2 linked regions of the Caenorhabditis elegans genome follow. The protein of the gene in region 1 interacts with the protein of each later gene in a pairwise test. Each region holds a gene or a part of one and is shown on either strand. Other genes may lie near its edges.

What was found.
Region 2: the proteins of aha-1 (region 1) and ahr-1 interact in binary tests that used the Caenorhabditis elegans proteins (3 or more experiments, as listed by UniProt).

The regions. Positions count from the first base shown.
Region 1 is NC_003279.8:10,191,522-10,200,156, forward strand, and holds aha-1 (Aryl hydrocarbon receptor nuclear translocator homolog), read right to left. Parts: upstream 5,477-8,635; 5' UTR 5,470-5,476; coding exon 5,426-5,469; intron 5,263-5,425; coding exon 5,154-5,262; intron 4,710-5,153; coding exon 4,398-4,709; intron 4,347-4,397; coding exon 4,229-4,346; intron 3,945-4,228; coding exon 3,703-3,944; intron 3,660-3,702; coding exon 3,451-3,659; intron 2,966-3,450; coding exon 2,638-2,965; 3' UTR 2,404-2,637; downstream 1-2,403. Other genes in the region: lid-1 (AB hydrolase-1 domain-containing protein), read right to left, coding at 1-236, 283-457, 505-607, 650-1,066, 1,113-1,218, 1,274-1,311; mrpl-34 (Large ribosomal subunit protein mL43), read left to right, coding at 1,721-1,940, 2,036-2,385; C25A1.15 (Transposase), read left to right, coding at 5,800-6,075; Y106G6E.1 (Protein kinase domain-containing protein), read right to left, coding at 6,765-6,890, 6,939-7,055, 7,309-7,583, 7,723-7,915, 7,965-8,107, 8,158-8,386. UniProt on the Caenorhabditis elegans protein: Transcription factor. Efficient DNA binding requires dimerization with another bHLH protein, such as cky-1 or ahr-1. Regulates transcription of target genes, probably acting in complex with cky-1. Has a role in cellular differentiation.
Region 2 is NC_003279.8:9,519,016-9,526,774, forward strand, and holds the start of ahr-1 (Aryl hydrocarbon receptor protein 1), read left to right. Parts: upstream 1-3,534; 5' UTR 3,535-3,562; coding exon 3,563-3,600; intron 3,601-5,646; coding exon 5,647-5,706; intron 5,707-5,932; coding exon 5,933-6,060; intron 6,061-6,244; exon of another isoform or gene 6,245-6,265; intron 6,266-7,523; exon of another isoform or gene 7,524-7,599; coding exon of another isoform or gene 7,600-7,629; intron 7,630-7,685; coding exon of another isoform or gene 7,686-7,759. Other genes in the region: set-32 (SET domain-containing protein), read left to right, coding at 243-344, 392-699, 746-986, 1,100-1,231, 1,280-1,825, 1,906-2,025, 2,071-2,175; cylc-2 (Lipoprotein), read right to left, coding at 7,600-7,629, 7,686-7,759. UniProt on the Caenorhabditis elegans protein: Probable ligand-activated transcriptional activator. Acts as a transcriptional regulator in GABAergic motor neuron cell fate specification and development.

The sequences.
Region 1 (8,635 bases):
CAATCTCGAAATCATTTGAAGGATTCGAAAGCCGTCCTTCTACAACATCCGATACAATTTCATTGAAAGCTGCCGGATCATCTGCATAGACATGAGTTCCAGCACCTCTGACAATCTTAATATCCACATATGCATTCTCTCGAGTTGATTGAATATCGATTGCCGGTCCTGGATCAATCCAACTCTTGCTGCCGTAGATAAACGAAACGCCTACGTTTTTATCAATTCCATTGAATCTGAAATTATTTTTAAACTATATTTCGAGTACTCATCAGCCGAAACCTTTTGATCATTGGTCTTTTTGCCCAACCGACTGGCAATGTCATATTCATGAAAGCAGTTTCTCCAGTTGGATTGGGAAGATTCAGATAATACACATATTTGTAAATATCATAGTCATGAAGTCCGGGGAATCGGAGTAAAAGATCTGGACGCAACTTTTTGACAATTGCCGGCGCTGAAAAAAAATCTTTTAAGTTAAATAATTAAGATTGAACAGCTAACCATATGGCCCCATCCATCGCATCGGCGAGAATGGATTGAAGTATCCGGCAACTCCTCCAAGGAAGGACATCCAAGCATAAGGTTTAATCTGAAGCCATGTATTCTGATTATTAGCATCAGAAGCTCTTAAACAATACATTCTTACCAGTTTCTCAGTTGTTTCAACTTTTTCAGCGAATCCCCATGGATCTACTAGAATCAGATGAGCAACTCTTGATGGATTCTCGAGAGCATAAGCACTCGCCAAATATCCTCCAAATGCGTGTCCTATAATGTACATTTTCTCAATTCCCATGGCTTTTCGCCAGTCTTCCATCACTTCAACCATTTCCAACTCGGCGATGGCATTGTCGTCACTGAACCTCGATCGCGATGATCTTCCGAAACCTAGTGGATCAAATGAATGCACAGCATGATTTTTGGCGCAGCTGTTGAAATTTGCCGTGAACATTGCAACACCAGCGCCCAATCCAGGAATGAAAACTATTGCTTCGCCGTTTAGGTTTTCAGCTTCTCTGGGCCTCACTGTCACCGTGTACACTTCGCCTCTTTTGAATCTGACCTGAAAAAGACACTCCAGACCAGAGAAACAAATATTTCTCACTCACCGGGACATATTTGGCTTCGTATGATACTTCGCAAGACTGAAACAGACGTCCCTCGACAATTTTTAGTTGTTCCTTCGAGTCATCCGTGAATGTCATCCAATTCATTCTGAAAACCGTAGTTTTATTTGAACAGCAAGCATCAAATATTAATAAATACTTACATTGTTGTTAATGCAGTTTTTGTCGTTGCAATTGCCATCTGAAAACAAAAAAATGTTGGCTAGAGTGTGGCTAAATAGGGGGCAAAGTGCAATAACAAGAAGAAATCACAGGAAAAAAATTTTGTCCTCGTGTACGACACGGCCGTGGCCTAGAATTCTCGGAGCTTCAAATGGAATTTATTAATTTTTTGGCTCGATATTTTCAACAAAATCTCTTGATATGTGATGATTAGTCACGTTTTTTCTATTTTAATGAAATTTGTTTGTGTAAATAACCTCGCGAAACCTGTTTTCGCATCAGCTGTCGTCGCTTTTGAACAAGACGCTCGTATTCTTTTCATTAGAGCGCCGTTGCCTTTCTTCATTTTGCCAATTTAACAGTACGATTTCTTATATTCTATTTCAATATTATACTTAAAGTTTATTTTATCAAACTCTCATTTTTAGATGCCATCGGTTCCACGTGTTGATCGCCTCAAACCCATTTACACAGCCGCAAAAGCTCTGAACTTTGGATGGCGATTTTCTGATTTTCTGAAAATTCCGGCTTATAATGGAATCTCGCGTTACACCAACCAACTTCATCGCATCACTGTCAGGTTTTGCAAACAAAGTGAATCCAGTGTCGGAGTTCGCAATTTTATTGAGAATCAACTCGTTGAAATCGGTAAGAATTTCTGTCTACGATCAAAAAATTAATAGAGAATCTAAATTAAAAGCTTCATTTTTTTTTAAATAAAGAAGGAAATCCGTTTTTTTCAGGCCGTAAAAACCCATCAGTTGTGATCTATGCCCAGCCTGTGCGAAACTCGAACCCATCAATCCGCGCAGAATATGGAAATGGTCGGACTCTACAGATCAATGCAAAAAACATGACACAAGACGAAGTGAGCAAAGATGTGCATTTGTTATTCTCAAGAAGCGGCGAACCAGTTGTGAAGCTAGAGAGTCGTCAAAGTGCATTGGTTCCTTCTATTCAAGGTCAATGGACACCGATAACATGGCTTCCAACAGAAATGAACACGGAACAACTTCCAGCGAAACAGTTCTCAAAGCACAAGTCAACGGCAACGTCGGCGACGGAATATATTCTTCAAAATCCACCAAAATAAGCAATAATCCGTTATTTTATAGTTGTTTTCATTTATTCGTTGTTTTCTTTTGATTTTTTGACAATATTATTAGTAATAAAATTTAGTGTTCAGAATGAGTTGAATAACTCGTTGGTCCAGAAAAAAGGAAAAATACTGAACAGAAAAGTTAAGGAAATTGAAAAAAAAAGAAAACTTTTCAAGAAGTAGATAGAAATGAGAATCATTGGAATAGGCTTCAAAAAAAAATATATCAATTTCTAGAAATTATAATCACTGGTTATATCCATTCATCGGGTCCCATTGCCATTGTGCCTGTGGTGCTCCTTGAGCTTCAGGTCTCCATCCTCCACTACTCGATTGTCCGTAATCCACAGCACTTGGAGCACCGCCGAGCTCTCCAAATTCACTGGCTTGAGGTTGAGGAACAGTTGGTGCAGTGACCCAATTATTAATATCTTCTTGTGGAGCAATTTGATGTGTTGCAACCACGTATTCGAACTGTTCCGAGTATGGATTCATGAATTTGTATGCAGACACAGTACATGGAATGTAATCAGTACTGGTACGTACTCGAATATTTATTCTCATTGGTTGGTCACTGAAATGGAAATGTTTTTATTTAGTTAACATGGAATCTACTGCTATAGGTTTAAAGGAAAGTACATTTTTCGAAATGGTCCCGCCACGAATATTATTCGTGAAAAATTCGCCTGAAAATATTCCCTAGAACCGCGAAAATTACGATTAAAAAACTACGGTACCTGGTCTCGACAAGACAAATGTTTGTTTAATGAAAAAGGTTTGAGCCTTTAAAAAGTACGGTAATTTTAATGTTTCTACTCAATTCTCTTTGGTTTTTCATAGTTTTTTTGATAAAGGTATATTTATTTGTTTAAAAACTCACATAAGACAACATGTATTTTTACAAATAGTGAGAAAAACTATGAAAAATCGACGAAAATTCTACAGAGTAGAAAGTTTGAAATTGCAGTACTCTTTAAAACCGCACACACTCTTGAAAGCAGGTAATATGAAATTTGATGGACGCAAATTGTTCAAAAAGGTTTTTTTACGAAAACTTACCTTAAAAGAGCCACAAATGAGTCTTGAAGGGTCTTCTCATCTGCTGGATGTGCAAGATTCCACCAATATCTTCCGATAAGTTGATCACTGCTCAAACCAATTAAATCACTAACCCTCGCATCAATAAATGTCATTTTTCCATCTTCCGAAACACGAACCGAAAATTGATTTGTTGATGTTGGATCAGCACAGACCGGCATTGATGCTACCTTTAATTAAATCACGTTTATCTGCATCGTAAACTATTCTAACCTGTAACCTGGCAATTGCCACCAAACAAGATGAAGCTGGAGCATTAATTCCCTGTGGTGGAGCATTTTTGATATATCCTGTGCAATGCATCACAACGTAATTTTGACCAGCATGTTGGAATAAGGGACGGCGATTTCTGAGACGATGAAGTGGTTCAAGGGCTCCGACACGCATTCGACAGATGAATCCACGACGACATGACATATGAACTCGTGTTGATGCTCCTTCGCGTTTCACTGATCCTAAAATTCAATGATTTTGATAGTTAACTTGAAGTGGGTTACTGTACTTTTAAAGATACACACATTTTAAGAGCGAGCAGATACCTTTTTGACGGAAAATCACAAATTTTGGGCATGCCAAAATCTAGTGAAATTACAATAGATGCTTTTAAAACAAATACTACTTAATTCGATTGACTGAAGTAAGTGGTTATTACTGTAAACGGTTCCAAGTTATATGACTACTTTGGAAAAAATTCAAAAAATCCTTGAATCTCTCCTCTTCTCTTTTTATGATAACTCACCAGATTTCAAATCGAGAACTTTATTAACTGATACTTCACTTCCACACAATTGATCTCTAATTTTATCTTGATCATCTGGATGTATGAGTTCATTCAAATTTCTTTGAAGCCAATCTTCCTAAAAATTAATATTTATATTTCAATAATGAAAGATTCAAATCTTGCTCACCTGCTTCAAATTAAGTACGGGAGTAATTGAATCAGCAACATATAACACTTTTCCAGTCTGACAACAAACAACAAAAAGAAATCCATTCGCTGCTTCTAGAATCAAATGTTTCAATTCTTGATCCGTAAGAAATGATGGTTTATATGAAGTTTCATCTTGTGCCGTATGTCCTCGAATTCCTTTCATGTGTGATACTGCCATTCGGAGAATCGTTAGTTTATCGGGTTTACGTCCAAGTGATGCACATTGTGGAACCATTTCGGCTAATTCATTTATGTAATGAGTCATTTTGTTACGGCGACGTCGCTCAATCTAAAACGTTTTCAGTTGAATTTGAAGCAAGAAATTTTACTTTTTCCATATTGAATTTTGATTTCAGAAATTTCAACCAAAGGGTTGGTAAATTGCCAAATTTTTAAACTTTTAGTTTTTAGTTTAATACTTGCAGAAAGAAAGATTTTTCGGTCGGCTTCCGAATTCATGATATGTGAAACTCTAAAATTGTGCCTATTTGAATTTTAATTATACAGTTTGAAATAATTTTTTAAAAAGTTCTCTATGACTCGATAATTTTAGCACCATATGTAGAAATTTTTAAAAAATTTAAAATCGCTGGAAATTTAATTTTGAGTTGTGTTACGTCCCATGAAAATTGCAGTTTTACAGGTCAAACAATACCCAGAGTATCGTACTTTTTATTTGAATTAATGAAACATAGCAGTATAAATTTTCAGATATAAATGTTCAAAACCTCACCTCTGAATGATTTTCCCTTGCAAATCTTTCCTTATTCTCTCCCATTTCATCTTCCATTCGAGCATATTTTCCAGATGGCATGCCCATATCTTCATCTTCCATTGCGAAGCTGAAATTATTTAAAATTTAAAATATAAGTTTAGAAGTATCCAAAAATAACCAGCAATAAGCATATCTGAATAGTTGTATTGCATAGAAAACCAATTTTAATCAACACATTTTTTGCAATAAAAAGCCATAACTTAAGCTAATAATGTCACACTATGCCTTACCTCGTCGCCGATTGCCATGGATCCATAAATATATCCTGAGCCATTCTGAAAACTATAAAGAAAAGTTTTTTTCTGTCGAAAAGAAGAATTGAAAGACACCAAAACAAATTATAGGCAATTGAATATATTAGGTGAAGAATTTAAAAAATTGAATTTTAAAACAAGTTGTGCAATGGATCGAGAGTAAATCAATTAATTATGTAAATCGTCGCTTCCTTGCCCGATGAGAGAGAAAGTATGGAAAATCTAGAGTAAGATGCGTCAGAGAATACTCTCCATTGTAGACACAATGTCTTTAAACACGCGATACGTATGTCTGAGTCTCCATTTTTCATATACTCTCACCAATCAATATTTCTTTAGGATGATGGGGGATGGGAAAGGAATGGTGTGAGAGAGAGGGGCGTGCGCGCTTTTTCTATTTGTCCAGTACCTCGTCACCAAACACCGTTGAGGACCGTATTATTACTATGAAGAGAGAAAGAAATGAAAAGAAATTGAGAGTGACCCCCCTACATATGGTCACTGGATATTTGAGAGAAGAAGCAACAGATGGAATTAGAGGGGAGAGACTTTTTAAGGATGATGAAGGAGGAAACGGAAAAAAATTAGAAGATGATGGATGGATGATAGGGCATATAAAAATGTGATAGTGATAATGCAAGAAAATAAGTGAAATAATGCACGCATTTATAGTGTGACCAGTATTTGAAAGTTGAATGACCACAATTGATTGATCAAATTTTTTTAACTTTCACACTCTCAATTAAAATCATTTTTTATTTGAAAGAAAACCTTTTGCATAGGCCCCTATAAAACATTCTGCTACATGCCTCGCACTTTGAACTAAAAAATATCGACCTGAAAACTGTTCCTTGGATGTTTCCAACTTTCGAGTTTTGTGAAATTGTTCCAAAAGTGTAGTTTTTTATCAAGTTAAAGTTTTCTTTCTAAAAAAACACACATAATTCAAGCTTTCAGAATGTTTGTTTCAGATCGACTTTTCCACTCGGCCTTTTGTAGATTTAGAATGCACTAGAGTTTGGCATAAGTTTGATTTTATTCATGTCAAACTTTGACCCAAACCTTTCTTGTATTGTTTTAAACTGTTGAAAAAAATATTGTCGCTGCCAAATTCTGGCAAAAAGTTGGTGTACAATGCCAAGCAGTCCAAGGCGCTCTTCGCCAGAGGAGCCATAGGACGAAACTCCATATTCAAATTAGTTATGCTTCTAAAAAGACAGATATAGTGACATATATTTCAATTTGGAGACCCCATTCAGAACTGTTCATATATTACAAAATTGATAATCTAAATATCAGTGCTCTTTTCTCGAATTCAACTCGTCTGCTCAACCGATTCATTCGTCAAAGTTGTATCTCCAGATTTCACGGATTGTAAGTCGACTGCAGAAAGACACAAAATCTTCTTTTTATTGAATCTCACCGTTTTCTCGTTGAATAACTAAAATCATTATGTTAGGTGACAATCATAAGGTTCAGATAAACTTACCACATTAAAGTACGGATGAGTGAGAATCTCAATTCCAGAGAGACGCTTGTTCGGATTGTAGACAAGGATTTGAAGAAGAACTGCTACTGACTCTTTCATGTCATCTTGCTCAATTTTCTGAAAAACAACTCTCTGGAGGTTTTCTTAAAGCTTTTTGCCTGAAACCGATTTGATTCCACATGCGCCTTATCGTTTGGTGCCTACTCTGTGCCTATCTTGTACCTAGCTTGTGCCGCGCAATCAATAACAGACTAGTGGTACATCAAATCGGTTTCAAATGTTAAGATGGTTCCGAATGTAGCACTTAAAACCGGTCGCTGATGAAAATTGTCTGAATTTTCAATGAACTCGTTCTTCGTATAATAATTACCGTATTATAGACTGTAGTTCTCCGATCCTTCTGATAAATGACTGTCTGTGTGTAGAGATAAGTCAAGTCGGCAGTTGTCTTCGATTTATTATATTCATATGAATCCAAAACTTCCTGCAACTTCGTGCTGCTCACTTTCATTGATGACACATCAGAATCTGTTGGGTATCCGAGCATATCGAAAATGACCTCCGCTTGATTGTTCGATGATTTTCCAGCCAAGATGATTCCGCCTTTCAGTAGCTCTCCAAATACACATCCGCAAGACCACGTGTCTGAAAAATTATATTCTAGCAAAAAACTCCAAGACTTGCTCAAGGTAACTAATAGTAAACTTGGGCTTAGTAAGAATTCACCAACAAGCATCTAACAAAATTATCAGATAATTTGAATATTTTTTCAGAATTTTCTTACCAATTTTGCATCCATAGTACTTGGAGCCTAAAATCAATTCTGGTGGTCTGTAGTATCTCGTGACATGATAACTTTGCTGTGGTGATTTTGTAGATTGGATGGACGATGAGCCAAAATCAGATATTTTCAGCAGACCTGTTTCGGCGTTGTAGAGTAGATTTTGAGGCTTGATGTCTCTGTGACAAATGTCAGCCTTAAAATTCCAGATTGAATGGGAGACATATTCAAAAAAATAACTGCACCTTCTCCAAATGTGCTTGTCCTCGAAACAATTGCCAGACAATAAGCTTCACTTCTACAATGTCAATCCGGCGGTTTTTGTCTTTTAGAAACTGATAAAGATTCAATGGAATGTACTCGAAAATCAGAGCAAGACAAATACGACCTGAATATTTGTAATTTGCTTATTATTCTATCAACTAAGCGTGCTCACACCTTCATGTTGTTTCTGATAGCTGTACAACAAACGAACAATATTCCGATGCTTCAACTTTCCCAACTGTCCAAGAATCTTCACTTCCATTGGACATCCTTTGTGACGCGGCCAGGTCTTTTTGATCACAATATCGATTTCCTGATTGGATTCTGTTTGAGCAACTCCACGGTAGACATTGGAAAATGCTCCAGTAGCAAACAGATTCATATGATGAAGATTGAGATGCATCTGAAAAATTCAAATGTTCCGATGAAGTTGCAAGAAACTTGAAGCTCTTTCACACTTTTTTTGTAATGTTTCCATCAATAGGTTAATTGTACTGAGGCATTATGCGCACATGACACAGTTACCTACCGACTACTAGACAGTTTTTGATTTTCAAAAATTCAATGTTCCTAATATGATCATTTGATCACAAGATCTCGGCATTTGCGCATTAACTTGTCCAAATTGTTCAGAAGTTGGCAAACGAGTAAT
Region 2 (7,759 bases), 670 kb from region 1:
TTTGAAAATAGTGTTTTTTGTTGATTGAATTTTTGTTTTTCTGAACTTGCATCCGGCCGGAACGTTAATTTCAAACGATTTCGGGTTCTGTTATAAAATAAAAGTCTAATTTTGTTCATAAGTTTTTACATGTGAACTAAGTTATTTTTGTCAACTCCGCCTATTTTAATTATTTTCGTATTCAAACATTCAGGTTTGAGTGCTATGCTTCTAAATGTTGTCTTTCAGATTCTTGATATAAGATGTCATCGAAATCGAAGTCACGAACGAAGAAAAAGCTTCGTCAACACAGTTCAAGAGGCCCAATCACTGAAATGCTCGCATCAAACATGTGTATCTTTGAGGTTTGCGTAAACTTACGTTTTCTCCTTTTTAACACTTTTATTTAAAGGCACCTCCATTCAAAGCGGAGCAGGATTTCCCGATATATCTTGCCGCCGGCTACGAAGAACGAAGAACGTTTCTCAAAGAATCTGCTTGTCTTGTGGAAACGAAACCAGACGTAGAAAATTACAGCCAGTCGCATGTTAAAGTTCTGAATAAAATCCGAAACGATCCACATCTTAATGGAAACTGGAAACTGCTCCCCAAATATGATGAGGATGTGAAAGGCACAATGATGCGAATATTGGGACAACGAGCAATGATTTCACAAGGAAGGGAACATGAAATTTCCACATGTCCGGATTCCGGCCAAGAGTGAGGAATTAATTTAATTATATTATTTTAATACATTTCTTTTCAGTGTTCCATTGCTTTCGCCGACTTATATTACTCCAAGGAAAAGAATTCGAGTAACAGAGAATCTCACTTTCAACACCTTAGATATCGTTCCTGTCTATTCTGATCTACCAGATGAAAAATTGACTTCAATTCAAATTCCCGATACTCTTCTCTTCGAATATACAGACACGAATGTTTTGAACCCGTGCTCCGCAAGAAACATTGCGAAAGCATGTATTATGTCTCAAAAGGAAGAGAATACGGTACTTTATTCTTCTTTCTTTCCCTGAAGATTATTTCTAGTCAATTGTTCAGTTATTTTATGTATTGCTAAATTTAGTTTTTCTTCAAGGTAACAACTTATTTTCTTTTTCAGATTCGTTGTGATTGTTGCTCATCGAATCCAATTGTACCATGCTACGAAAACGAAAACTGCCCGTGCTATAAATTAAACCAAAAACTGCAAGGATTACAAATAAATAGTTCCAGTCACCCTCCTACCAAATTCGTAAGTCCTTCCGTAAGAATATGAAAAAATTTTTAATAAGAAGTTCAGGCGTCGTTTGATCCAGTAATGTTCTCCAATTCGAATAGTACATTCGATAGATGTATTGGATTCTCCTGCTCTGAAGCGTGTGGCTGCAAAGGAAACTGCACCAATAACAGTTTATTAATTCTTAACAAAAAACTGTTTCCGCTCGAGATCTATCGAAGCAATGAAAACGTTGGATTTGGATTACGTTCATCTGTTCTGATTCCAGCTGGCACGGCAGTATTGGAATTTACTGGAGAAATAGTTGAGCGTAATCAACTAGATCGTGACAGTCAAGATTATGCTTATCAGCTCACAGATAAAGACAATTCGAACTGGAGGCGTCTTTTGGATACAATGAAATTCTCTGATGACTATAAAAAGTTTTTGAAGAAGTTGAGCTACGAAGAATTTTTCATTGATCCAAAAGCCAAAGGAAACGTTGGACGAATGATTTGTCATAGCTGTTCGCCGAATTTAGAAATCGTTCGTGTCTACCAGAAAGGTCTTTCACCAGCTCACGTACATCTCGTTTTCATTTCGCTGTTAAACATTTATCCAGGAACACCGGTAAGCTATTTTATAAGTCTTGATTTGGAAATTTTATACCACTATCAATCTAGCTCATAAAGTTTGTTTTTACATTTCAGCTTACAATGGACTACGGATACAACTACATGAAAAATCATCTCAATGGAAAATGCGAGTGCGGAAGTTTTGCATGTTTGAACAGAAAAAGCTCCTGTCATACAAATATGTCATTCGGAGATGTAAGTATTTTTAAATTTGCAATTTTAATATAACATTTGTTTCAGTTCGCAGCTTATTATCGCAAATTGGACCATCAACAGTGGGAAAGTTGGCACAAGAACATCTGCGAACCTCTTTCATGCAACGACGATGTAGTTGTTTTAGATTAAGTGTTTTTGAAGTTTTACCGTTTTTTTTTCTTATTTTTTACTGATTTTCTTTTTTTCGTAAATAATAAACCTTTATAAAATCTTGAATAACGTATTACGCGAATTAGATTAAATCACATTATTCAACCAACTATACGAACCCATTCGAAACGTTTTTTTTGCTAATTTCAATAAAATTGGAGTTCATATCCATATAAACCTCCGAAAAAAAGTGCCAAACGACTTTCAATCAACTCTGCCGGAGACTTCATTTGGCGGAGCAACGAATCGGACGACTCGGGCCCGCCCATCAAAGCTCCGCCCATTTGCAAATGGCTACCAAATTAGGGTGACCTCCTCCAATCTCAATATTCTCCTTTTTCTTTTGTTTTGATAATTTTGATTATAACTGCATTGAAGACCTATATATATATATTGGAAGTGGCTCCTGCCAGCTAAATTCTAAAAATTTCGAAAATAATTTAGATTTGCATTGACCGTAGAATGATAGCATAAGCCGAACGATACAAATAAACTTTATTACTATTCGGAAACGCAACTTTATAACGAAATAATTAGTTTCCAGGTCTCGACGCGAAAGTACATTTTTCGAAAAAAAAGAGTATGCGCCTTAAAGGAGTACTGTAGAGTTTTCCGCGCCCGTCTTCATCAATTTATTTTTAGTTTTCTGGAATTTTTCATTTAGATTTTAGATGATGATGACGCGGTCCAATTTTGTTGTTGAAAAATAATTATTTTTAAGAGAAACATCGTTTTAAAAAACAGAAAGCGGAAAGTACTGTACTTCTTGAAGGCGCAGCGAGACCTGGTACCGTAGTTGCGCGTCAAAAATCTAGTTTCTCACATAAAGTGACAGACCTTGAAAGGTTTGAAGACAACAAATGAGATTCGAAAAGATTAAGTTTTATTTAAAAATATGGATTATATTTATAGTATTTCCGGAAATGACATTAGAAATACTCTAAATGTCTTTAACAAATTTAGATTACTTTCTGCAAAATGACAACAGTAGAAGAAAAACTGATATCGTGATGAGGAAACAATGATACAACTATTTTCAAAAAATATTTCTCGCGGCAGGAACCAAACGAAAACATCTGTGCGCTTTTGAGTACGTCTTGTGGAAAAAAATGTGGAAATCTTTTTCAAGGGTTCAATAGTAATATGGAAATATTAGTCATTAGTCATATTTAAGTTTCTAAAAATTAGTTTGTTTGAGGAATATATTTACAAAACATAAAGGTACTGCCCTTGATGACCTTGATATGCCTGAATTTTCTCCTTACTTTTTGTTTGCTAGAAGATTTTTCCTCGAACTTTTTTATTCTTTCAACAAAAATTTAGATTCAATTATTTTCCAGGTTAAACAGACGTTCGAATTTGTGAAATGTATGCCAGCAAACGTCGCCAGCGGAACTTCAAAAGGTGAATTTCAAGATTTTACCAAAAAAACTAGCATATTCTCGTATTATTCATCCATCAACTACCGTAATCCGCTCCCTCTCTTCTTCATCCGAAATCCATTGAAAATTCTATCCACTTCATCGTCGTCACGACTTTTTGGAAGGCGAATCTGTCCAAAATAAATATGTTACGAAAGTTGGCTGGATTCGGAGGTGATATGGGATTGGAGAGAGGGAAAGAAAACAGTTTAGGTGAAACTAAGAAACATTAAAAATAACAATTGGATTAACATTTAAACATTTTATTATTTTGATAATGCGAGTTCCAAATGCTAATAAGACAACACGAATTGCGCATTTCTACAAATTATTCTCATATTCAAGTTAGCATCTGGTATTTATAATTTACAAATGTTTGAAACTGCTCAAGGAGTTAGAGGTGGAGTAGTATCATAGGGAATTGCCAGTCAACATTTTGGGAAACTCCAAAATTTCAAAAAAACCTTGGCTTTTTGAAAAATTTATAGCTATTTCGTATGTTTGAATTCCTACAAAAAACGTCTTTGATTTTAAACAATTGTAAATAACAGTGGGGTTACCTTATTTTTGAAATGCACTATCTGTGGCACAATTAGCAAAATTAGTTTTTAAAATATAGTAAAACCGAAAACCTACTTAGATTGAAAATTACTTTATGTGTTATGATAGCGAGCAGAAAGTTCTTTCTATTTAAATTCCTTGTATTTTGTCAAAAATGTGAAGTTTAAAAAATACAGGGATCGTTTTTTTATGTAAAAGATAATATGCTCATTTCCAGTTTTTCTTAGCTTGAATATTTTGAGCTGTGAAGAAATAGATTAAAAAGTACAAAACTTGCATAGCCCATTGCTCTAATTTGACAATTCATATCTCGCTCGCCATCGGCTTTTTCAAAAAATGGTCAATTGATGAAATATATATTTAACCTTTTCCTATATTTTTAAAGTCAGCAAATTTTTTGACCAACTCAAAGATAACCTGAATACCAGTATGAGGGCTCAAAGAATGGGAATAGTTACAATGAAAAAAAAACTAGAAAAGTGAGAAGGATTGTAGTCTAAGGCTGTCGTCGTCCTTGGACACGATCGTTTTATTCAGACTGATGGCTTCAAACTGCCTTCTTTTTCTGTTTCTTCACATCTTCTCCACCATGTTCGTGCCATGTGCTCAGATGTGCGTGTGACACGGAAACTGTGCGTGAGGTAGAAGACTCTCCGTCTTCCCAACACTGCTCATTGGCCAGTCCGACGGTCTGTGTATCATTGAATCGTTGAGTCTCTTCTCACTCGCATATCGTGACAATGAAGACTTGTCCACATCAGGATTACTGCACGATGATTCGAAACACGCAAAACTACCAAAACGCACGCCAGTTTATATTTTAGAACCCAGACACTTTTCAGTCAACTTCCCAGTATCCCCTTCTCATGTGCCCTAGAACACGTAGCAACCAAGAGTGTTGTTTGAATTTTTTTTCGATTTTTAGTCTTTCTGAAAAAAACACTAAAATTGTTGCTGTTTCGGTAAAACCTAAAAGTTGAAAAAGTGTAAATATTTTCTAGAACAAATTCTTCATCAATTTGTTTGTATTGATAACAATAGAAGTTCAAGTTAGTACGTTTGATTTTGTTGATTTTCTCTCTCATCTGTTGCTCATCCTCTTCTCCCTCCTATAGAAACATCTCCACCATATGGTGCACAATTATAACAGGCGATAAACATTCACGTACAAATTCCGTAAAGATTCTTCCATGGAAGACCATACGAAATGATTGTCGAGAATTAATTGCTCCACTATGCCATCCTCGTTGAATTTTTGAGTGTTTTGCATGTCATGGAGAGGAGCCAGGTGTGGGAGCTATTAAAATGAGCGAATGTGGAGAAAGAGGGAAAGGGGAACCATATCTAAATGTTACAAGAAAAAACAAATATAATGATAGTGTTTCCAGTTTGACACACCTGTTCTTTTAGTTTTTTTTTATAAAAAAAACAGAACGCATGGGCATATAATCAACTGGAACATTTGCAGGGTACGGGATCCGCCGAAGCAGTTGACTAACACCAATCCGTCGAAACGGCACAGAGAACGGTGAGAATTGAATAAAAATTAGAAATTATTAGAAAATTGTGGACAAATTGAAAATAATTTTACAAATTGATTTTTCATGCCTATACAGTTCAAACTAAATTACTCATGTAATACACTGAAAAATGTTAAGACAAAAAAGCAAAACTGTACGCCTGTCGATTAGTTTTCTAAAAGGCTTAGTCCAAATTTTGAAATATGCATAAATATCTCCGTTTTTAATTTTCAGATTAAATGGAGAACTTGAGACGGTTGCTATGCTTCTTCCTTACGACAGCTCTACCATCAGCCGTCTGGATAAACTCTCCGTGCTCCGACTTGCAGTCAGCTTTCTTCAATGCAAAGCTCACTTTCAAGGTAAGAATTTACGTAACAATGGATATCACATCAAAAGTTATGTCACAAAGAACTCACCTTTTTCCCATCATTCCGAACACCTTAGAAGTCTCACATGCAATATTGACAGAGAAGGTGCCAATTACATGTTCAATGTGTCACATTCCTCATCTTCCGTAACCACTTGATGACCGTACCCTTGACATTCTCTGTGTCTCTCTAATAATTGAAGTGTCTGATAGTATATGTTTATATAGGGAGGGTGTATCATGAGTTATTGACATATTCTTGATATTTGATATGACAACCTGGCTATTAAATGGTCATGAAAGGTGAAATATAGAGACTTTTGCTGGTTATATGGGACTTAATTTTAGTTTAAGAAATTGTAAAAAATCAAAAAAAAAAAAGTTAACTTGAAAACAGTTAATTCAGTTAAAACACAGGTTACTTGATTTTATTCGGAAGCCTTAGTATTTGTGAATATGATATCGCATCGTTTAGTACCATAGTCTTCATAATTTTCCACCATCGCGCCTATATTATTCACTCGTTTTCTTTTTGGACTGGCTGCCAACAGATGCATCAGTTAGAGATCAAACGTCTTAAAGAGAGTACTGAGAAGAATACGGTAGGCGGCAATTAGAAGAAGATGCTCTGCTTGCTCCCTTCGCATGTATGTTATGTCTTTCAAGTGATAAATTGGACATCTCGATTGAATGCGTGATGATGAAGATGTGAGGAGAACGAAGAAACACAAATGGATGAAGAAAAGGGGACCAATAGATGAAAGAATATTAAAAATTCGTTGAGATAATAATTAATTTCTGAATCTGAAACTGGAAGTAAGTACATGTTAGGTCTTCACTTTCAAACATTGATCTACAGTAAGAAACAGGATCAGGGTTGTTAGGCTGTTTGCGTTTTAATATGAATAACGCAACTTGAGAAATGCAAAATGTTACCACATATTAAAAAGTCAATATTTTTTTCGTAGACTCTGCAACTTGATTTTACCAAAAATATAAATTGCCAGATGCCAAAACATCAGCAATTAGAATTTCCAGTTATCAAAAATAATGAAGTTTTTCCGATGACTGTGACTGTTCTGATTTGTAAAACGGACTTTAACACTTACATTAATTCATATTTGTAAACACAAAAGTATTTGAACCTTGTAGAAAATGACTTGGCGAATTGGCACAACTTCTCATCAAATTTTAGCAACTTGAAAAACGCCATTCGCAAATGTTACTCGCAATGTATCTCTTTGAATTACATTTTTTAGCCGAGTAACTTTTAAAATTATATTCTTAGGTTACCCAATACCGAGAACTCTGAAGGAGACTGTTCCAATCAAGTCTAGTCAAAGATTGTTCTTCAGTGGGAAAAATGTTCTAAACTCGGCAAAGAATTACGAGTGTTGTATAGAACGTCCAGCACCTGACGAATTCAAAATTATTAAAACAAAGAATAGAAAGGTAGTAATTTTGATAGATTTATTTGCAAGTAGAGAAGAGACATTTCAGAGTATGAAGGGCTAGTTCGAAAGGATCCTGCTCACTCCTTCTTCTCATCGTCCTTCTTCTCCTGAAAATTTATGTTCAGAAGATTGCTAAAATAAGGGCTTTGAAATATAAACTCACATCGTCTTTCTTGTCGTCATCCTTTTTGTCGTCGTCCTTCTTATCCTCATCTTTCTTTTCTCGTTTGGACTTCT